3 linked regions of the Struthio camelus genome follow. Each later gene encodes a partner of the first gene's protein in a complex. Links are inferred from orthologs where the notes say so. Each region holds a gene or a part of one and is shown on either strand. Other genes may lie near its edges.

Region 1 (7,684 bases):
GTTTCTTGCCCAACAGTGCTTTCATGGTTTTCCAAGAAAATGAACACTGAAGATTAATATTAGACATAATAGAAATAAAAAGCACAACTGACCAAAGCAAAATGATAGATAATGTCTATTTTTGGCTAAGTTAAGCTTGCTTTCTACTGCCATGTTAGATACCAACTTATTCCTTAAAGATCTGTTCAAGGCAGTAAGCTACTTCACAAGTCCAAGTGTCTGGATGGCACAAGAGCAAAATATGTACTAAAACTCTCATCAGTGAAGGCTTTTCTGGGAGACTGATAGTAGTATCTAGTAACAAATCAGTAGTAATCCTCTCTTTTTTCCACACATTGATGCTACTGATACAGTAAAGCACTGGATCCATTAAGAGGCTGAAGCTTATCACACATATACATGAAAGATGTACACAAAAGAACATCTTACAGAGCCTTTAAGGAGGAGCATTGTGCCTTACGCGTTCATATCCTCTATTTAGTCACAGGACTTTGTCCGTTTCTTGCCGAGTATAACGTTGTAAGTAGGAGAGAGAAAGTCACAAAGCAGAAATATTCTACAATTGTCTATGTTACAGGCTGCGGACTTGGGAATAGCTAAATAAATAAAGAAGTACATTTCATCCAAAAACGCAGCTCATATCTTGCATCTTGCAGTTTTAGTCACCTGTGTTAATGACTACTTGCATGAGGAAAAACTGGCAAGATTAGCAACTTCTAATAGGAAATGAGTTTTATCTGTTGAATAATGAAAGGCAGTTCTTAAGAGTCCAAATAATTCCAAAATAATGTTATTCAGTTACACATAAAATCAATATCTTGTTTAAAGAAAAAAAAAATTTGAGGTCTTCTGCCCACTTCTTGGTGGTTAGTTTTCATTCCTGAATACCTTAGTCAGTAGCTATAAATCTAACAGTGGAGATAACAGCTAAGTAAATATAGAAGCATATAATTTGTTTGCTTACAGTCTGCAACATGATCTTAGTAGCTATTGTTTATTTTTTTTTTTTAGCCATGCTGAGAATTAAACAAGCTAGCAAAGAAAAATCACATCTCCACTGGTAGAGTATTTCTTGCTTGAAACTCTTCTGAGTCTGTTTTAGGTTTTCATTCCTTTGGTTTTGGATTGTGTCAGGCATAACAACAGTGCAAGCAATAAAATCATCAGGTTTTTTTCTGCAACAGAAAACAATTTTCTAAACTCATTGTAAGTATAATCCCAAGCATCCAGATCTCACTTTTTCCCATGTTGAGGATGGGGTAGTAATACCATATAGGGAGATAGGGCTACACTCTCAAACTGTCTAGACTGATTTGACTCTTGTGCTGTGAATTAAGCCTAGACAGCAATGACTCCACAGCTTCCGTTTCCAATTGGGGACTAAACTTGGAGGGAGAGGAGCAGGACACTCATTGCTGAGTCAGGAAAGTAACAGGCTTTATTACCTTTCTAAACTCCAATGGAAGTAGAAAGGAGGTATGCATGAAATAGCTTTTGAAAAAGAACGTGTCTTCTTAAAGAGAGGAAATGGTTTGAAGATAGTTATTCTACCCCTAGGGATGACGACTTCTGATTCTATGTAATGTCTGAATTATTGCTCTAGCCTGTCCTTTAGTGATTTGCTTTACTGACAATAAGAGGTGGCACTGCACAGCCAGTCCTTACTTCATTTCTAAAATTTATTGCTTGTTAAAATGGCTCGTGCCTTAAAAATACACGTATCCTTTACTTCTCAGATAACGCTGTGAAATGATATGACCAAGTGAGGAAAAGGAAGATTTATTTTCTTTAACTACTGACTCACTGATTAAAGTACACATGAAATACTCCATTCTTTATTTATTAGTGTGCATTTGCTAGCATTTGGGAACTTCTTAACCCATCTCAAGTGCTTTGATCAAGTTGGATAAAGTAGTAGTATAGCAGCTGAGAGAATAGAAGTAGTCAGTAAATAACAATAAAAGTTGAACTTATTAATGATTTTTACCTATCAAGATGCAACATAAAGTTAGGAAAACTAGCAACAAATCTCAAGGCAGTATAGGAACTCTCCTCCTAACTTTAATAGAATAATACATTTTCTTGAGATGGCTGCCTTAAATAATTACTACTGCCTGGGAGTAAGAACAAGTGACTGCAACACAAACTGCTGTTTATCAAGCTGTGGTATTACGTTAATACTTAACTGCAGACAGGAGAGCTGTGAGATGAATAAATGGAAATGTTTGGGTTCTTTTTCTTCCTTGTAAGACACGACATTGATGAAAAAGCTATATTAAAAAATAAGTATTTTGATGGAAAAATATGTATTATTTACTGTTTTTACATTGGAGTAACAAACAGTACAGCAGGGTTATGCAAGTCAGTGAACACTTTAACATAGCTTATCAGTTACACACGTAGAGTCTAGCTGGGAGGAAACAGTCCAGACATAAAGCAGTTTTAAATTATTTAAATTATTTAAAATTAAATTTAAACTCTAATAAAAAATCACAACCCACTTTAAATGAAAACCATGTATTTTGAAATCCTCTCCCACTTTCTATGCAGTATTACCAATATTTCCCCCGCCCCCAAATATTGGTAATTTTTCCAGGTGTACTTAATTTTTTTTTTTAGTATTTCAACAATAGGTAAGTAATAGTAGACTTGCCAAGAATCTATAGTGTACAATATTGCTACTTTATGTAGCAAGAATTCTTACATGTTTTGCATCCAGTTTGAAAACTTTTAAAGGTTGCCATTACTGAGCCACCTTCTCTTAGTCTATCATATTTTCTGTTGGCTTCAAGATTATTTAATTTAGGTTGTATATTAACATAAAATCTGACTTTATTAAGGTACAATGCTACTGAAGTTTTTGTTTTAAAGAAACTTTATTAATTTAGTGAAAAATAAAATGATCACCCAATATCAATGTTCAGCGAGGATCCATGGGGATCCTTTTAAGTATTGCTTTTTTCTTGTCTTTTTTTTTTTTTTTTTAAACTCATATGCCTAAATATCATGGTATTAGTGAATGTAGGCTGGTTGGACCTTACTAAATAAGGAAAGGAGGAAATATACTAATCCTGAAACGTGATTCATGAAGTAGTTGTTGATGAAGAAAGCACACTTCCCTCTTTTGTGAAAAGTCTTTAGGTCTCCTGTGAGGAATAACTCACTAAAATGAAAAGAAGAAAGGCAATGCTAAATGGACTTTTTTCAATGTTTTAATGTATTACTTTAATTGCATTGAATTAAGTCCATTATATTTTAAAAAAAAATCAGGAATACTTTATGAAATCATGTCTCTCTTGTTCAGTGGATTCATTAGCAGTTCTTTATAAACATTACGCTTAGTGTAGTAAGTTGCCTACTGGTAGTCTTGATTTTTTTTTTTTTATTTTCATTGAAAACTAACATTTTCAAAAAGTACCTTCCAATTTTGGTTGCTCCAAATCTTGTTAGCTTTGCCTGATGCACGTGATTTTTAGAGCTGCTGAGCATGCACAAGTCAACTTACAGTCAATTTAACAGATGTCAAACTCCTGTGATAGTGTGATCTCTTTGTAGAATATGAATCCAAAAGTTCCCCAGTGCTCCCTACATCAAGTTCAAAACTTTTGGGGGAGGCACACCCCTATTGTAGAAAGATGCTGTACCTTGAACTGGAGACTAACAGACACTGTGAGTATAAAAATGCACTTACCTTTGAGTAGTTCCACTCTTTAATGAACCAGACCGTGCCTTCAGGATTTTCTAGCTTCTTGCTCCAGCTATTGTTACACGAGAATTCACCATCTCTGTAAAAAGGTCTCTGCCCAATCTCTCCATGAGGTAACTTAGCACACCAAGCCATCAGCCCTCACCAGCTGCCAGTGTCAAGTTGGGATTCTAGCCATGATCGCATCTGCAATTGGAGGCCAGTTTTAAAATCATTAATTACAGATTCAGGTTTTTTCACATGAAGGGCAGTGGTTTGTTTGTAGGATGATTGGTTTCATAAGAAGGGAAATTGCTAGGAGAGTTGTTGGCTAGCGCTAGTCTTCTGAACAGCTTGGAAAATAGGTGTGTTTTCTAAGGCTTTTTCTTGTATAGCTTTGCGTTTTTTCCCATGCTTACTTTATCAGTGACGTTCTTTCAAGGTTCCCCGACCCTTAATGAATATGTATTGGATCCTTCTAACTTGTATTTAGGGTTTCAAACATTGTCTCCGTTTGTCAGTAGTTTCTTTACTTTTTATCACGTTCTCGTGAAAACAGCGAAACTGAAATCGTAGCCTTTCGGTGGGAATGGCGTGGAGCTAATCGCATACCAGCCGTTCTGTGTTTTCTGGATTAATTATTCTCGCTTTTCCAGGCCACCGAGCGGGCTGGGGCCCCGGGCCGCGCTTCGTGCCGGGCGCGGGCGCTGCGGGCCGGGGCCGGCGATTTTACCTCCTCCTTCCCCAAAACATTTCAAAGGCGCCTCAATAGCGCTTGACCTCTTTAAGGCCCAAGATCCAGCAGAAACTAAGCTCCAAAACTTACGTGGCTTAGGGAAACAAGCCGTTACAGGCCGAGTGCTTTTTCAAGATTTTTTCAAGTTTTTTCTTTTCTTTTTTCCTCCTTTCCCCCCCAAAGCGCCTCCCCCCGCTGCCCGGCAGCGGCGCGGCACCCGCGGGCGGGGCCGGCCGTGACGCCGCCGCTGGGCCCCGCCTCCGCCGGGCGCAGCGAGCTGGGCCGACGGGCGCGGGTCCGGCTGTCGCCCTCCCCTGCCCTGCCCTCCCCTCCGTTGCGCCGGGCCGGGCCGGGCCATGGCGCGGCTGTACCTGCTCGTGCTGCTGGGCCGCTGGCTGGCGCCGGGCAGCGCCTTCAACCTGGACGCGGATCATCCCGCCGTGTACTCGGGCCCCGAGGGCAGCTACTTCGGCTTCGCCGTGGACTTCTTCGCCCCGGACCCCTCCTCGTAAGTGCGCCGCCCGCGAGGGGCGCCGCGGCGGCGGCTCCCCGGCCCCAGGCCGCCCGCGGGGGGAGCGCGGGGCCCGGCCCGGCCCGGCCCAGGCGGCGGGGGGCGGCGGGAGCCGGCGCCCGGGGTCCGTGCGCGAAGCGGCGACGAGCGCCGTACGGGAAATCCGCGGAGCGGTGCGGAGCGGCGCGGCGCGGCCGGGGGCGTCCCGTGAGGGCCCCGGGCAGACCTGCTGTCCCGCTCCCGCGCTGCGCCTCGCACCGGGGCTGCCTCGGCCGCGCCGGGTCCGGGCAGCCCGCCCAGGCCTCGGCCGGAGGGGAAGTTCCCTAAAAATATCTCTTCCCCCCCCCCCGCCATGTGCTTCCTGAACATGTTGTAGCGTCGGGTTAAGCGGCGCTCCGAAGCGAAAGCTGCAGCGGCGGGTGCGCCCGCGCTGTCCCGCGGTCGGGTCGCTGAACTGTGAGGTCTGCCTCTTGCTGTGAGGGGCTCCTCTGGTGCCTGGATGCGGGCTGCTTTCAGGGCTAGGTTTTGCCACCTTTTTCCTCCTGCCCCATCTTAAGGAAGCACTTTACAGCTGGAAAAGCCTACTGGGTTTCGTCAGGCTGAGAGGATTTTCCATCTTGCTTCTGCCTTTTATTTTGTTTTTTTTTAAATCTTGTAGACTTTTAAAGCAAATTCTGTAGCTGTTGAGCAAGACTCCTTGCAGTACATCATCCAGCCTTGGTTGCGTTTCTTTGTTGCCTACAACGTTAGAGATCATCCTGCCTTGGCTTGTGTGTGTTGCAACATCTTTCTCTGCTGTCTTAATCCTGTAAATCCTGTTGTTTACAAACAAATTATTTTTGTTTCTTGCTTTATTTTTAATTCAGCATGTGTGGCTGCAGAGTTCCTAAGAGACTGGTAAACGCACATAGTAAACCCTCTTCCTTGGTTTCTAATAAGGAGTTATGTCACCCAGCTGTCGCTGACGTCACTGATTGGAATCTTTCCCCTATGTTATTAATAGCTATTGACCTCAAAGCGCATGGCTGCAAAAAAAATAGGACTTTTTGCAACTCTGAACACTAGAGTGTTTCAGATTGCCTGAGACACACACTGATATTTTCAAGGATGTTTTCTCTTTTTAATTTTAGATCTGAATAAAAGTTAATCTGTATCTCCTAAACTAAATTGTAGTACCATAGTTTATCTTATATTTATCCACACGATTAAAACAAAGCAGCTATGCAGCTTTTACAGGAGCAGGCTCTAATGGTGGTAAACGTTAAGTTTCAACATATGGAGACCGATTTTTTTTTTTTTTTTTTTTTGCTTACGGAAATAAATAAATAATTGTATGAAGCATCCTGCAGACACAGGCCCATGGCTCTTCCTGACTTATAAGAGAGGCAGCAAGTACGAAATGCAGACTGGAATACTTGAATCTCTCCTAAGCTATTGAAGGGCAGAGACAGGTAGTGATGGACAGCAAGTTAGAGAGATGTCTACAGTTGAATGTTTTGTAGAGAACTTGAGTGAACTGTTTTGCAGCATGATTAGCGAAAGACATTTATTAAAATCAGTCTTGTTACACGATTTCTGTCAAACTTGTGATGTGGGTTACTTGATTCCCACACCTTTGCTGTTGCTTTGAAGAATTGTGATTTATCACCTGTTCTTTACATGAAACAGTTAAAGAACAGCAGAAAGTAAATAAGTTTGGTCTGGCTAAAGCAGTCTGCATTGATTAGGCTTACAACAAATGAGTATTAGTAGTACCTGAAAGCTCATGCTTCTGTTTTATAATCTGTTTTGACCTACTGGATACCAAAATAAAGTATGTTTAGAAGTCCAATACGAAAGAACTTTTCTGGGAGTCAAAATGGTAGTATTGTATCAGGATACTATATAGTGCCTGGCAGACGACATAGCTATGAAACGACATGATTGAACTTGACTTTATAAAAACTAAAAAATATCTTTCGTATGTGCTGTACTCTAGAAGAATTGCATTTGATAATCTGTCTTTCTAGCATACAAGGATATGAAAATACATGATCTTCTTCACTGGCACACGGCGAAGCACTGGTGAACGATTATTCCTATAAATAAGTACACTCATATAACTAAAACTGCTGAGGATGTGAATATACTCCCAGTCTTGTGTGCAGCATGTTGGGCAGGTTGTTGTACCAAAACGTAGTCTTTGTATTCCCATAGGAATGACGACTATGTTCCCCTTCCCCAAAGTACCCAGACTAGGGACTTATTTGTACATAGCAAGCGTTCTTTCTAATATTACTGGCGCTTTATAAGCCCAATGGCAAAATCCACTCATGTCTTCCCTCCCCCCCCCTCCCCTTTCTCACCCCTTGGGAAAAGAGGTGACTGAATCTTTGGATTCATAAATCATAATGATTCCTTTTGTCTTAACCTTCACAAAGATTATCTTAAAGATTTAAAGTATATGATTAGAATGGAAATGAATTTTTTAAACTAATATTCAAACATATAAATATTCAGTAATCAAGAGTAAACTGGGAGGCAAGTCACCACCTGTCTGACAGGTTTTAATTACAGCAATTAATATGTTTCTTTCTTTGGCATTATATATATATGTGTGTGTGTGTGTATATATATATATATACACATATATTTGTATTTCTCTTATGACTAGAGAGAACGTTTTAACTAAGTTGATAACCACATTTCAAATTCTTGTTCTTAGAATCTAGATGGTTTATGAGTAGCAGCTTAGAGGAACAAATTATTTCCA
Region 2 (7,577 bases), about 11 Mb from region 1:
CGTGGGGGCACCAAGGGGCCTCGGGCCACCACGCGGGGGGCTGGGGGACCCGCACGGTGCCACCATCCCGCCCCCAGAGAGCGATGCGCGAGTGCCAGGTGAACAGGGTCTTCCGGGGGCTTTCGTTTCTTCAACGACAGGGAGGGAAGAAGACCAATATTCTGCGTTTTTACTGTGGTAATGCGCCCCACGTGCTGGCAGCGAGGAAGGAGTTAACGCGGGGCCTCGTTGCCTCCCCACCTGTGCACCCATGGCCAAAAAGGCCCCTCTGGGCAGGGGCAGCTGTTGGTGGGAAATGGGGAAGGGTGGGGGTAGCTGAAGTGGCTGTTACCTTCCTGCCCAGGTCTGGTAGAGATGGGGTAGTTGTTTTGTTGCCCTTCATGGTAGAGGGGAAGCGGGGGGGTCTCTGGCTGGGGCGAGGGGCAGGTGGCCAGCTGCCCCACTGGGCCCACGTGCTGCCTGGCTGCAGCAGCTCATGGCACTGCTCTGAGGAAACCCCCTTTTGCTTCTTCTCAGGTCTTTCCACTCCTCTTCTACCTCCCTCCCTGATCCCAGGGTAGAGCCCTAAGCCCATCCGTGCCTTCTTTGTTTGCTTTTGCAATCCTTTCAGTGCTTTCCCCAGCCCTTCACCTCCAGCCCAGAGAAATGATATAATCTAGGTGTACTGGGACACTTCTGCTCTTTGTGCTCCATTTCCCAGTTAGTACCTTAGATGAGACCCTTATATGTTGGTCTTCCAACTCTCAACCTGTGGATACTGATCCTTCCTCGCCTGCTAGTAGCCTAAGCAAATTCTGCCTCCCTGCCGTTTCTGGCTTTGGCTCAGGTTTGTCTGGGATTCTTTTGTTGTTCATCCCCAAACTGTCGTGTTCTGCTTAGATGAAAGGGCCTAATTTAGGTCTGTTAATATGGACCTACAATACAGTTTATGGGGGGGGGAAAAAAACACCCCTGAAAAGGGCATGTGACCTGAGTAGAAAGCAAGTGTGGTAGAGGGGGAAGCACTGCCTCGTTATCCTAGAATGACCTAGTATTATAATAAATAGAAAACTTTTAATAATCAAAGTAGTTTCAACATGATTCTCTAAAGCAATGGACTAATTGTTCCAGTCTGGGAGAGAGATTATGCTATGTGTCCTTTGCTAGTAGGGCTCTTATTTCTTCCATCTGGTGTGAGGGAAGAAAGTGGTTGCTTAAATCACTATTGATATACAGCGTATGAATCGCAGTTTTGATTTTATGAACAGCCTCTGTCATGGCTCATGTGGACTGCCTCATGCTCATTGTACTAGGGAGATAGACACACTGTCACCATTCCTATAAATAGCCTGGTTGGTTATTAAAGAAAGACTAGTAGTGTTCCCTCTGGGAAGAATAGGACTTTTGAAAAATGGCATTTTAGACCAGTTTTCTTGAAACTTTCTACAGGAGACAGCATTTGGAGAGTAGAAAACTTACTAAAGAAAGACCATAATCAAGGAGTTAATCTCTGAAACACAGACACCAGGTGAATCTGGAGCATTTGGAGAGGAAAGCTAAGTTAGAAGGAGTAACACAGCAGTGTCCCTTTACAGAGGGGGCTCAGCTGCGGGGCTGGCAAGGGCAAGGCAGCTGACGCGGAGAAGAGAGACTCTCTGAGATCCAGCGGAAAGCTGAGCCGCAGCACAAGGACTGTTGTGAGCTTGAGGAGGTCTGCTCCACAGCTGGAGGATGCTCAAGTGTAGTGGGGAACATGAGGTAAGGCGACATTTTTTTTCCCCCTGTATTTATGTTGGAGCAAAGTGAGAAGTGATTGTGTAGAGAAACTCTTATGTTTGAACTGTCAACTGTTTAGCTGTTAGCTACATTAGCTGTATTAGCGATTAATCTTCTAAGTGCAGAAAGCACCTTCAGGTAAACACCAAGCAGCCTCAAGGCAGGTTCAGTAGGGATGGATGTTTTTAAGTTAGTGAATAGTCTGGGGATCACTATTTCTAAGGGAATAGGACATCTGGGCTATGGGTCCTCATTTCTGTAACTAAGTGTGCTAGAGAGACCAAAGAGAGCATATGTCCTGCTGGCTGCACAGTGACAAGAGTTTTATTGCACATACTGTGAGAGGTCTAATATAACATGGCATTGAATGGCAGATAATAAGGTTTGGTAAGTGTCTTCGCCTGACTAATAAAAGTAACAAATGCCAAGATATTTTGGGATTTTGCTTACAATGGACAACAGACAGAGAATTCAGACCCCACCTTCAGAAACCTGGGGAGACTGCAAGAGTGCTTTCAATTGACAAAAGCACCCTTTGTGCAAATCACGAGTCTGCATGTAAAACAAAAAGATTGCTTTATCAAAAGGAAAGGGATAGAGCATTAAATTCGGGGATGTGACTAACTTCTTCTGAATAGTGAGGAAAGCACCTCACCTGTCTGTTATCTTTCTGTGCACTTCCTCGGTTGTGGCTGGGGCCATCTGATGACTGTTTCCCTTCCACTCCCAGCACAGGGCGGTCTGCCTGCTGTCAGCAGTTAATGAAGTCACCCGCAAGACTCCATCCCCTAGGGAAAAACACTTCTACGAATAGGCCTGTTACTTATATCTCTGGTTGCAATGCTCTCAGCACTTCTCTTGCTATGCCACCATCTCTAGTGCTTACGCCGCAGTTGTTTTTCATTGCAGAGTTACTGCTATTCAGGATGGCGAAAGATGGCCGCCTTGCTCCTAGCAGAGTTGTAGAGCGCTTTGAATGCTTCTGTGTTGTTCCCTGATGACAGTTGCAGCTTCTGAGGTGCCACAGACTTACCAAAAACATGCAGAAAGTGAAGCAGCAATGAGTAATGGTATTGCAGCACTAACTTTTAATAATGGTCCACAGTGAACTTCATCATGAGATACTTCATCAACATGCAATATCCTATAATAAGGAGGAAAAAAAGGCTTTTTATGAGAACAAAATGTTTCCATCCTACTGAGACAGAAAGGGAAACTTAATCTGATGAGAAGTATTTAGAGAGCATCACCTATTTGCCCAGTGAGGCTTGCATGTCTAGTTATGATTAAGCTGTACTTGTACGGAATTGCATGTTGGTCTAGACAGAGCTGAGCTATAAAAGAAATAAAATCAGTAGAAATAAAGATAGATGAAGAATGATGAATCATGATGAAATGTTGTCCAAAGTATGGAAATGTAAAATCTTGAAAGTACTAACTACCATTTGTAGGTCGCTGTTTGTGCCAATAAAGGCATGGACTACTCAGTGCAGTAAACTTGTGTTTTTGTGACTGAGTTGTGTGGTTGAGATCTAACCCCAAATGATTTTACAACTGAACATCTTTGTAAGAAAATTTAACTGACAATACCAATAGACAATCAAAAGGAAAAGGAATAAGTAAAATGACGTTCAGTTTGAACATTACCTGTTTTCTCTTGGGGAGATGTTGGGGGGCAGCTCTTTTAAAAAGTGGGTTTCGATATATGTAGATTTTTTTAACCTGACTTTTAACAGACTTTCCCCCCATCAAACTGTCAAAATTTTAATTCTCAAAAAGCTATGATGATATCTTCAATAAAATGCCAATGTAGATTTCTATCCATCATCATCAAAATGTCTGCACAATTCCTACATGAGCAGAGTTAAAGTCGCTATCTCATATGAACCACTGTTCATGCGCCTCATCCTCCTACTTCTACAAAATCAAAAAAATAATAAAACTTGTTAGTCAGACTTTTCATTTCATATCAATTCTGGATGGCTGAGTAAGTTTGAATGATTCATATGAAAGTTTAATGTCAGCCTTTAATGTGTTCGGCCTGACACATGGTGTGTCTTATAATATTGATATATCTCATCAACCTAGCAATCTGCATCAGCTTGCTGAAACATGCCGTGAAAGGAAACTGATGTAGTAGTTCTGATCTGCTTCTCTATGAAAGCTTTAATTAAAACATTTACACTGTCTGTTAAGATTGAAGGGATTTGGGGAAACTCGTAAGATGCCTGTGCTGTCATTAACAACATTTCATTTTGAAAGTTTAGACAGAAATATGCCTCTTAAGTCACTGCTGTGACCTGGACAGCGTCTCAGTGGCATCCAAAACTTGTCTGACTTGCTATCTGGTATTTTATATATAAGAAAACACAGATTACTACTTTACTTTCCAATCTGCTTGCTAAGTGCTTTCTGCCAGTAACAACCAGAGCGGCTGCCGTGAATTCAGGGGTCCTGCAGAGCCTGAACTCTTGAACTCTCTGAAGAGCTCTTGCAGTGGTTCTCATCTGTCTGCCAGGGGTGCGGGCGAACACAGCTGAGCACACGTTTCTCTCCTAGGGTTCCTATTTCCCACTGCTGGTGCCCAGACAGCCTCAAGGCTGTGACAGTGTAAGCAGTGCTCCACGGTCTCCAGGCTTGTCGGCTGGGAGGTTAAGCCTGATCAAAATGAGGTTTCATTCACTGCTAGCTGCTCATGAAATGACACCCTGCAGTCTACCCAGGAACAGCACTACTAGGGTAACGTGTCCTGGCTGTGTCTGCAGAGGTGCCTTATTAAGGTCTGGCACAGACTGGGTTTTTTCCTCCCTTAGCAGAGCTGTCTAGAGGGTAGGACTGTGCATGGACCGTCCCTCTCCAGGACAGAAAACCTGCTGGTAAGAATGATCCTTACCATCGCCAGAAGCTGTTTCTTGCCCGCTTCAGTCCCACAGTGCTGTGCTAAAGGCAATTCATTCGATTCAGTAGAAATGGATGTTAAAATCAAAGCCAACAACTTAGTCAGCTGTTTAAAATCAGCTTCAGTAAACTTTGCTCCCTCTCTGATCTTTTCCTGACTTCCTCATCCTCTGTGCTTGGCTTTCCTCCCTGAAGGCATTCAGGCTCAGATTTGGAAATCCCCTGTTCCCAGCACTGAGCTGTTATTTTTCTGGCAATATTTACCTGCTGTCCTTGTAGAATTGACTCAAGGCCTCTGTGGTGCCTGGGCTGTTATTCGGAGTATTAATAGAAATTATAAACAGAAAGAGGCTGACAGATATCTCCCACAAGAACTGCACTAAGGGATTTCTTAAGCCAGGAAGGCTCTCCAGGAGGAAGCTTGAGAGGCTGTATCTACGCTTAAGCCTGTACTGATTCTAGTTGCAATACAGGAGCAAGTTCTTCCAACAAACAATCTTCCTCAAAAATCCCTCTGACAATGAAGGAAAAAAAGTATCAGGATCATAAAACAAACAAAACAAAAATCCTATATACCATGAAGACTGTGAACTTAGAAGAATGTAAGCAAAAAGCCAAGTCTTGACAGATTTGTTAATACGTGATTTCAGAAGCACTAGCTAAATCAAACTGCCATCGCTCAACTCACAAACACAGCAAATGAAAACAAAATATGTTTTTTGAAGAACCAAGGGAGAAAATACGCATTATTATATATTCATATACTTTATAGTCATATAAAAGTGGTAGGAATAAATCAGATGGTAACACATGAGAATATAAATATCATTTGTGTGTCAAGTAAAAAGGCTGTATTACTCCGAGTGAGCGAACTGATGGTAAAGGATACTTGGTAAAAATGAATGTTTTTCTCAGTAATGTGATTGATTTTGTGCGTGAATCCTGGGTAGTTGTATGCCTGCCAGTTTTAAAAATCCTATCACAGTCCAAATAAAGGACCAAAAAGGTTTATTTGCTTTTGTATATTGTTTTAAACCATAAATATTGAGAACTTTCACAAAATGAGAAAGAAAAATGATGACCTCATCAGATCATGATAAATGTGTACTTTGTACAAGACGTTACTAGCATATTCAGTCCTCTGCTGGACTATTACATAGCTCTGCTTGAAATCATTATCATGACTGACTTATAAGTCGTGCACTCATCTCCTTTGGTCTAATATGGCGCAGGCAGAAAAGGGCATTTGTGCTTGTCCTACATGCAGGGAAATTCATGCACTGTGCGAGAGCATACCTCGCTTTGAATTTGAGAAAGATGGCTTAAAAAAATTATTTAACAAACCATATTGTTAACTTATATTGTTGCTTATATTTTGTCCAGATTTGTTCTGTGTAGCAGTAGGCACCCGAGGGGCCCAAGTCTGGAGCCAGTTTTGCCCTTGGCTCTGCCTATAGTAAACACAGACAGAGACACCTCCAGTATATGAGGTGTTTAGTGTGTTTAGTGTTCCCTGAAGGGTTTGCTTACAACGACATGCATGGTCCTCTGGAGCGATCAGCGTTTAACCTGTCTGAATTTGTCCTTGATCTCTCCTGTTGTGTGCCCTCACAAGTTCCCCAGCACAGCTATTGTTCTCTGATTTATAAGGGCATTCAGATACCTGTTCCAAATCACTGTTAACCCAGATGTCATCCAGCCTTTTTGCTGGCAGCAGAATACAGGCTTTGCACACCTTCTCCTGCAGACTCTATTAGCTAGTAATGAATGGTGGTATCTTCTTCTGTTTTTTAGTACTGCCAGATACAAAGTGTCAATGGCTTTGAAATTAACCAATTTGGGTTGGGGGGGTGTTATCCACAGCAATGTGTGTTTTACCTGTTTACGAGTACGCATTGCCAGAGCAATGTCCAGGCCCATAGCGTTGCTGAAGTAGCATACTAAAAAAGCAGATTTTATGATAACATTGTTATTTTTCTCCACAGTTACTCCTGAATCATTCTTATGAACCAGGCATGGTCACCTGTTCTAGTTGTGAATCGGTTCTTCAGGTACTAAAGCTATGTAGACGTTTCTAATGCTTTCATTCTTCATGAATAAATGCCATGTCCCTCTTCGGGAACAAATTATATCACTGGCTGCTAGACTTTGTCAATGAGGCTTCTTGTGCCATTGAGCAATCCATGCGCAGAACTGTACTTCTAATATTTCTTTTTCTCCTGTCTCACATGGTAATTGTTAGCTTGAACAATATTATGTTCACTAACCTCTTTACCCTCATTTTTGTTTTCCACATAGTTTTAAAATAGTGTAGTTACCTTATGGTGGTTAGACATTCAAGTGTCTCACCTGATTAGGGTGAGCAGGATCTTGCACCAACTTAGGGAAGCTCATCCACCAGACCAGTAACACACTAGAAATCAAAAGCAAGAACAAGGTTGCAAAGAATCACATCATAATTGACTGAAGTATAATGAATAACTGACAACTATGACTCAATGTCTGCATTTCTTCCCTAACAGAACACTTCATTGTATGCTGGCTTTGAATAGGTTTTCACATAGTTTCAGTTAATGATTAACTCAAAGTGACTAAACTACCTCCAGGAGAACTGATGACACATCTCATAAACAATTACTCAAGTTCAAAAGTATATTCAAGATTTCACTTTACCTATTTCATTCAAAAATATTTTTCTCTAAACTGAAACTATTTTAAATCTGCCTTATATATGTAAAGTCAGCAGCACTATTATAGCATAATTTCAAGCCAAAAAGATTGTATTCGAGGCAAATAGAGACACAGTATGTGCATGCATTTTCATTATTTATTCCATTTATAAAACAGAAGGCATTTTAATGTCTGTGGAAATGCAGTCATTTCTTGGCTGAAGCAACTTTTTATCAGCTCGCATTGTAGGAAAA
Region 3 (7,169 bases), on another chromosome or scaffold:
ATAGATGCAGTTTAGATTCAAATACTGGGTAAAAAAAGAACCCAAACTACAGCAAATATATGTGTGACAGAGTCAGGAGATCCTTTTATTCAGTTATATAGCAAAGAAAGCAGAATTTGTACGTTAATGTCAGTGGAATCAAGTGAACCTCCCAAATCCAAAACAATTACCATATTCCAAAAAGATTGTGCATTATTAAATGAAAAATAGTAGTTCAAAGTGAGGTTTCATAGAAATGTGAAAAAGTTGGAGGAAAGTGCAATTAATTTAAGTATACCAAAATGGTGTCTATGGTGATTTTAATAGTGCATAACATGCCACGATAATGTAAGAAATCACATGACATACTAATGAACACATAATACAATTTTCATTTAAAAAAAAAAGTTTTGATATTAGAAGTTGTAAAACACCATCACTCTTCCCTTTGCAATGTTGGTTTGGATTCTCCCCCAGGAAATGGCACATCAAAGATCGCTGGAATTACTCAGCCAAAAAAGGAACATGGTTTTGTAAAAAATGTTTCGGGTTTTTTGACCACCTCTAATGCATATTCACTGTAGATGCAAAATTTTCAGAACTAGTTCCAGAAAAGAGAGGCTATTCTCCAATGCTTTGATACATTGTTAATTTTATTTCGTTTGTAGTAAAGCAAATGTAAATACTGACTGGAAAGAAAGCACAATGATATATAACACTTTAAGTAATTAAGTATACATGAAGAATAAGAGCAAAGCATTACTCACTTTTAACTACACAAATTCATAGAACAACTTCTGTTGAAATAAACCTCTAAAGACCTTTGCTCAAAACAGATCCAGTTAGATCACCTTGCTCAGGGATTTGTCCGACTGAGTTTAGAATAACTCAAAGATGGCGATTCCACAATTGCATTACTTCATGCATTCATGGCCCAGTGCAGTGGTCTTAAATTCCTTGTTGTAAGTGTGACCTTAGATGATTCAGTTTCTCCATTTGTAAAATTAGAATAATTAATCAATTTGTAAAGCAATAATATACTCTATATTTCAAAGAATTTATACTATTGCTTTACTAACGCTATCTAACCAGCAATTTATTTAAAGATGCCATCACTGCAGGATAAATAAATACTTTTATATCTTTGGTTTCCACCACAGGAAGAAAGAAGCTAAAGAAGTAGGCAGGAGCTGCATTTTATACCAACAAACAGTTGGAGTTTGAACAGTTGAAGCGGCCTTAACTGGTACAGGCTGCAGCTATTGGCACCTTCAGCTCCTGGCTTCTTTTTTACTCCTGATGCTGGTGACATTTAGTATGCAGGACTTACCCATTTTTTTATGTTCTCGGCATTTAAATTAATGACTACAGTATGTTAATTTGGTTTACATCTGTCTCAGATTTTATATGAAAATTATTCTTTTTTCTCTTCCATTTTAGAATATAGGTATCTGTAGTCTGTTCAGAACGCCAAATTCTTGGACACCATTCTCATAAGGAACAGTATGTGCATTTCCTATTTCTGTAGTGAATAGCCTCTGCTTAGAAATTCACAAGATAATTCATGCTGTGGAGGACAGAGATATTTTCGCTATGTTGCTTATGATAATTTCAATTCTGATCTGATAAAGAGGTAAGCAAAAATTCCAAAGTAGAGAAATCTCGTTTTCTGCAGCTTTTGCTTCTGCTGTTTTTTTTTAAAGATATTTCCTTGAATTTATTTATGTCTCATAGTGATCCCATTTTTCCACATATGCTTGAACTGCCATGAATTTGCAATGTCATGACACAGGATTTATACATTACACTGTTAAATCAGAGTGAATTGAGTTTATCTCACCTGCCACAAATGTGTCTCATTTCAAAGAATATCATTCATTTTAATTCCCATGGTATCCCTACAGGCATGGTAGCTTACCACTGACATAGTTTAAATTGTGATCTCTGAAATCATGGCGTTCTTTGGAGAAGAATGGCATAGTATTTGAAGTCATACAGATGCTACCCTTTTATGTTAGCATCATTATATATGGCTTTGTCACATATGGTATCCCCATTTAGACACTGGCAGCTTGAGGAATGACACTCAAGACAAATGTCCTAAATGGGGGGATTTTTCCAAGACAAAGCAGAAGAATTATGTGGTGTTCAAAAACTCCAAGAGTAGGAGTACAGAACTGTTCCATTGCTATCTCTTCCTCAACGACCTTCAACAAACCCAATGTACCTTCAGTTTCAGCCCTGTAACACGAAGATAACAAACCACCCTTTACTTAGTACAGTGAGGCTTCAGCACATGATTTGGAAATGCTCTGACAACCTTACATTCCCCAAGACTTGTGAAACAGCACGGTATTTATGCTGGCTGCGTTTGAATGTTTTATTAATGATGTACACCTCAGAGCCAGACTGCGATGCCGTGTGGAGATACTGTTTTGGGATACGGCGAGCACCAGCATCTGTTCAGTCCCACCAAAACGGAAGTGATGGTCCTGGGCCACTGTCACCAGCACCGTGCTCGACCCGCAGGCCCGGGGGCGCTCGGCCTGGCGTACCTGCACCCGCGGCCCCGTCCGGGGGGCTTGTGACCCCGCCAGAGCGAAGCGGAGGGATGGCAGTTTGACAGATCACCTTTCACAGGTGTGCGTCACCTGCCTCGAAAATGTCACACTGCGCCTTCTCCAGCAAACGGTGCCCACCGCGCCGGGAGCTGAGCCCCGAAGGGGAAAACAATGAAGTAGCAGGAATGTAAAGAGCAGGGACCAGCAGCCCTGGGCCTCCTTGCGCCGGGCTGCGACTCAGGGCAGCGCGGAAGAACGCACCTAGGGACCGGCAGGGAGTTTCCCCCCTCTCCACCGTGCACTTCAAGGCGAGGTACTTTCCACTCAGCCCTGGGCACGATTAACCTTTGAGTTACTCTCACTTTGCCCGAAGGGGCGGAAACTCCGAGCAGAAATTACTCGGGGAGGGTGAGAGGAGCGATAAAAGGTGGGAAGGGCAGCAAGTTATTCCGTTGTTGTTGTTGTTGTTGTTTTAAGTAGCTGGTGGTGAAAGCGGACAACCGGCGCCGGGGGGGGGGGGGGTGCGCCAGGGGAAGATCTACCGGCGGGGGCCGGGCAGGGGAGCGGACAGGTCTGAGGCAGGGGAGAGCGCGGGGGCAGCAAGGGCGAGAGGCCCCCACAAACGCCCCGCGCAGGCCTCACACGCAGGGAGGGCGGCGGGCGCCGGCAAGGCGGAGACCGCTGACAGGCCGCCCCACGCCACCACACGGGGCGAGGCGGCGGCGGGGCGGCGGGGGGGAGCCGCGCCGCGCCGCCGCCCTCGCCCCCCCCACCCCCACCCCGCGGAGACCGTTGGCCGCGGCGCGGGCCGGCGGCTGCCGAACAAAGAGGCTCGGGCGGACGCAGTGACTTCATCGCCGGGCCCGGCCCCGCCTCCCTTCCCCCCTTACCCCCCCCCCCGGCGGCCGGGCCCCGGCGTGGAACCTGCCCCGCTGCCGTCTCCTAGCAACGGGGGGACCCGCGGCCCGGGGCGCACCGGCGGCGGCGGCGGGGCCCGGCGGGCGGCTCGGGCGGGAGCGCCGGCTCAGCGCGGCCGGCTGCGCACGGGAGCCTCCCCCGGCCCGCGGCGGCGAGAAGGGGGCCCGGCCGCGGCTCGGGGCGCGACGACGGGCAGCGGGCGCCGCCCCGGCCCTGGCAGCGCCCACCTGGCGGGGCGGCGCGGGGCCCCGGCGGGGCTGCGCGGCGGCGGCGGCGGCGGGGTGGCAGCGCGGGGAGGGCGGGGACAGCGGCCGAGCGGCGGTTGTTTTCGGTAGGGAGGTGCGGGGAGGGCGGCCGCGCTCCTGCCGCTTCTCCCCGCGCGGTGCCAAGAGCCTCCCCGCGGCCGGGCAGGGGGGCGGACAAAAGCCCGTTGTGTGCCGGGCTGGAGGCGGATGGAGGGAGCCGCTCGCCGCGCTCGGCCGGGGCCCCGCCGCCGCCGCCACCGCCGCCGCCGCCGGCGGGCCGCCCCTTGCGGAGCGCGGGGGGGCGGCGGGCGCTGCCCCTGAGATGCGGCGCCCCGCGCCCGCCCTGCCGCCGCCGCTGCCGCCCCGCGCCCTACCTGTGCCGGGCCCGCCGCCGCCGCCGCCCCTCCCCCGGCCCCGCCGCCGCCGCCGCCCCCGCGGGGGACGGGACTGAGCGCGCCGCGCCGCCGAGACGCGGCCACGACGAGAGGGCGAGGGAGCGGGAGCGGGAGCCGGAGAGGTGCCGCCCGCGCCGCATGATGTGGGTGCCGCTGCTGGCGTGTCTCGCCGCGGGGATCGTCTCCGTGCAGAAGTGCCAGCGCGGCCCCGGCCCCCTCCTCGGGGCGGCCCGGCTGCTGGCGGCCGCGCCGGGACTCTGCCAGCGCCGTAAGTTGCCGTGTGCGCCCGGGGCTGCGCGCCGCCTCCCGCGGGGTGCGGGCGGGGTGCGGGCGGCTGCCGCGGGGCGGGCAGCGGGCTCGGAGCTCCCCTGGCGCCGCTGACAGCGGCCGGAGGCGCCGGCGCAGCGGCCCCGTCGGCTGCGGGGCCGGGCCAGGTGCGCCCGGAGCGCTACCTGCCGCGGAAGCGGCCGCCGCAAAAGGCAGGGCTCGCTCGGAGTCCGCCTGCGCCCCGGAGAGCGTAGCCGTGACTTCTGGCTGCTTTCGTGCGGCTGGTGCAAGCGATTTAACCCAAGGGTGTTCAACTTTTTTTGGAGCCTTAAGGGGCTTCCCGCGAGGAGAGGGAGCTCTGCGGGCGCTGGGGACCCCTGCCTTACCCCGCTGCCCTCTGCAAACCTCCTAGCTGCGGCACGCAGACCCCCGGCGGTCACCAGCTGCGGATGGGCAGTTCTTAGGGATGAAAACACTCATTTTTACATCACTTACACGGTGCTTAGTGCTGAGGTTTAGAACGGGGAGAATTAGGGGAAGATTGTTTGCTCTTTCCCTTTACCCTCTCAAAATGGGATAACGTGTGTTGACAGTTCCCTGGTAGATGTTGTACTGGCGGTGACAAGCCCTGAGGTTATAGCAGATAAAAGCTCAAACTGTGAAAGAACTTCTTAAACTATCCTTGCCCTCAGTGTGGATTTTCATGCACGCACTCTGAGAGGAGTTCTTGCAAATGTACCTCAGATCCTGCAACAGTGTGTCAGCCACATCTGTTGATCCATTGTCGTACTACTCAAGTATTTCATAAACAGTCTTATTAACTAGTGGTGATCAGAAATGCAGATCAAGTTGTTAATCACCTTTCCCCCTTTTTTCTTTTTTTTTCTTTTTTCTTTTTTTTTTTCTCCTGTGTGGAGTAAATACATATTCCAAGTTTAAGCCTGGAGTTATTTTAAAATGTTAAGTTGTAACCTCTAAGATTTATAATGGGAACAATGTATTAGTCGTAAGTTCCTTAATGCATATGTGACAGGTTTGTGTCTAATTCAGCCAGATTTGCCCAATGCTGTTAAGTAACAACAGAATGATTTGTCAGCTTTTGTAACATAATTTATTTTGCTTTTTTGGCTTCATATTTTGAGTTCAAAACCAAAGTAAATGTCAATAGGAAAAATAAAATGTACTATTATTAAATTTCTTACGAAACAGGACATCTAGTATTTAGTATTCCAGATTATTTTCTATGCAATGTAATTTTGTTTGAAGGCTAATGGAAACTTATGGAGAAGGCAATTTTGTGCCTCAGTGCAATGTGTCCTTGCTCGTAACTGTAGCTCCTGGGTAGTACATAGTACAACAAATGCGGTTCTCGTTCACAGTACAAATAGTATTCTGTCCTGTGAGAACAGAGTAACATAGGTGAGGATCATTCACAGTGCTTTTGCTCCAGAAAGGTGCTTTCTCCCTTTGCTGTGCTTGATAGTGAAGATAAGCATGAATGATGTGCCGTGGGTTCCAGCAGCTCCTGTGTCAGCAGACAGTTTGTAACTCAAAGAGACCTTGTTTTTCTCCTCTTTATTTGAAACCTCTTCTAATTCATGAAAGCTGAAAGTCACACTGAATTCTTTCCTTCATACATAATCACTTTACGGGCTAGAGCCATACTTGAAGCAAGAAGATTGTTTTGCTTTGTTTCCTTGAATGAACACATGAATAATGTTTTGGAGGGAGTTTTTTTGTTTGTTTGTCTGGGCTTTTGGTTGTTTTGGTTTTTTTTGGGGGGGGGGGTGCTGTTTGCATTAGCTCTATGAGCCAGTGCAGCACACCTGAATTCTTTGAAGGTTGCTCTTACAGAGGCTCCAGGCAGCAGCTCCTTGTATAGCTATTTGGTACGCAGCCTTGTTTCAACACTTTTTTCTGCCTTGACATACTTCAGTGTTGGGCATGGCAGAGCATCATGCTTCTTCCATGTGCCATCAGCAAGTTCAGTTAATTTATCTGCAGAGCTGGCAGTACATGTGTATCTGCTGCAATGAATCTCTTTAAGGAAAAAATAAATGTGAATAAATATGAAGTTACATGGGACATTCAGGCATTCTTGCTGGGGCATTTATTGCTCTTCTTTTTGAAAAATGCATTGTTTGATTCTACCTGCCTGAGTTATTTGCATTGCAGACTGCAGTTTGAGATATGAGTTTCAAGTTGAGAGGAGTACAAAAGGAAACCTCATAACACTGTAAAGTTGCAAGTCCCAAATTAAATGTTCTGTAAGCTCAGATAAAAGGTTAGTATTGCAGCCTTCTACAAAGGCTCCCTTGTTCAGTCTTACCATAGGAAATTTGCAGCTTACTAAGCCAACTAAAACAAATACCTGACATAAGAATGGAACTACTTCAAAATTAAATTTGCCTCATAGTGATTTAGGCAGATCCCAGATTTATTATGGAATACTAAAAAGTGAACAACTAAATAAGTAAACTGATGAGGTGAATAGAAGCTGAATTTTGCAGTGAGACCATGTATATGTATTCTGTTGATCCGTTGTGTAACTATTGACTTCGGTGGAGAAAGTCAGTTCACTTGGCTTGTTCAGAAACTAAACAGATAAAATTCTTTAGTTTTTATCTGCTATGTAAGCATGTGAAATATCTAAGACTAAAATACTATGGAATAATTAACTGGTCAAGATTAAAATAAAACACAGGTACAAATCTGAGCAATGCCTCAAAAATGTTTTTGTGTATATTAAAATTTGAATAATAAGGTGTTTGGTGCTTTCACAGAATCACAGAATGGGTGAGGTT

Evidence for each region.
Region 2: the proteins of ITGAV (region 1) and ITGB6 are in contact, whole or in part, in a crystal structure (PDB 9CZA), measured with the Homo sapiens proteins. The link is inferred for Struthio camelus from reciprocal best matches to the Homo sapiens genes ITGAV and ITGB6. Residues at the interface, in NP_002201.2 of Homo sapiens: Tyr48, Phe51, Lys72, Trp123, Leu141, His143, Gln150, Glu151, Arg152, Pro154, Asp178, Ala179, Phe184, Gln186, Phe189, Pro204, Tyr208, Trp209, Asp249, Tyr251, Tyr254, Pro274, Arg275, Arg278, Thr279, Met302, Ala303, Tyr305, Phe308, Pro328; in NP_000879.2 of Homo sapiens: Ser183, Pro184, Phe185, Lys187, Thr188, Thr189, Pro190, Ile236, Asp237, Thr238, Pro239, Asp273, Ser274, His275, Phe276, Gly277, Met278, Asp279, Lys281, Leu282, Ala283, Gly284, Val286, Pro288, Glu308, Thr311, Ile312, Gly313, Gln314, Ile316.
Region 3: the proteins of ITGAV (region 1) and ITGB8 are in contact, whole or in part, in a cryo-EM structure (PDB 8TCF), measured with the Homo sapiens proteins. The link is inferred for Struthio camelus from reciprocal best matches to the Homo sapiens genes ITGAV and ITGB8. Residues at the interface, in NP_002201.2 of Homo sapiens: Tyr48, Phe51, Trp123, Leu141, His143, Gln150, Glu151, Arg152, Pro154, Phe184, Gln186, Phe189, Pro204, Trp209, Asp249, Tyr251, Tyr254, Arg275, Arg278, Thr279, Gln301, Met302, Ala303, Tyr305, Phe308, Pro328, Leu329, Met331, Ser335, Asp336; in NP_002205.1 of Homo sapiens: Ser197, Pro198, Ile202, His203, Pro204, Arg206, Ile250, Asp251, Thr252, Pro253, Thr287, Ser288, His289, Leu290, Ala291, Leu292, Asp293, Lys295, Leu296, Gly298, Val300, Pro302, Glu321, Ser324, Leu325, Gly326, Gln327, Glu330, His349, Trp350.

What each region holds. Positions count from the first base shown.
Region 1 is NC_090947.1:16,213,992-16,221,675, reverse strand, and holds the start of ITGAV (integrin alpha-V), read left to right. Parts: upstream 1-4,667; 5' UTR 4,668-4,777; coding exon 4,778-4,929; intron 4,930-7,684.
Region 2 is NC_090947.1:27,361,936-27,369,512, forward strand, and holds the start of ITGB6 (integrin beta-6), read left to right. Parts: upstream 1-4,567; 5' UTR 4,568-4,631; intron 4,632-6,638; 5' UTR 6,639-6,704; intron 6,705-7,577. UniProt on the Homo sapiens protein: Integrin alpha-V:beta-6 (ITGAV:ITGB6) is a receptor for fibronectin and cytotactin. It recognizes the sequence R-G-D in its ligands. Internalization of integrin alpha-V/beta-6 via clathrin-mediated endocytosis promotes carcinoma cell invasion.
Region 3 is NC_090943.1:35,762,237-35,769,405, forward strand, and holds the start of ITGB8 (integrin beta-8), read left to right. Parts: upstream 1-4,154; 5' UTR 4,155-4,236; coding exon 4,237-4,366; intron 4,367-7,169. UniProt on the Homo sapiens protein: Integrin alpha-V:beta-8 (ITGAV:ITGB8) is a receptor for fibronectin. It recognizes the sequence R-G-D in its ligands.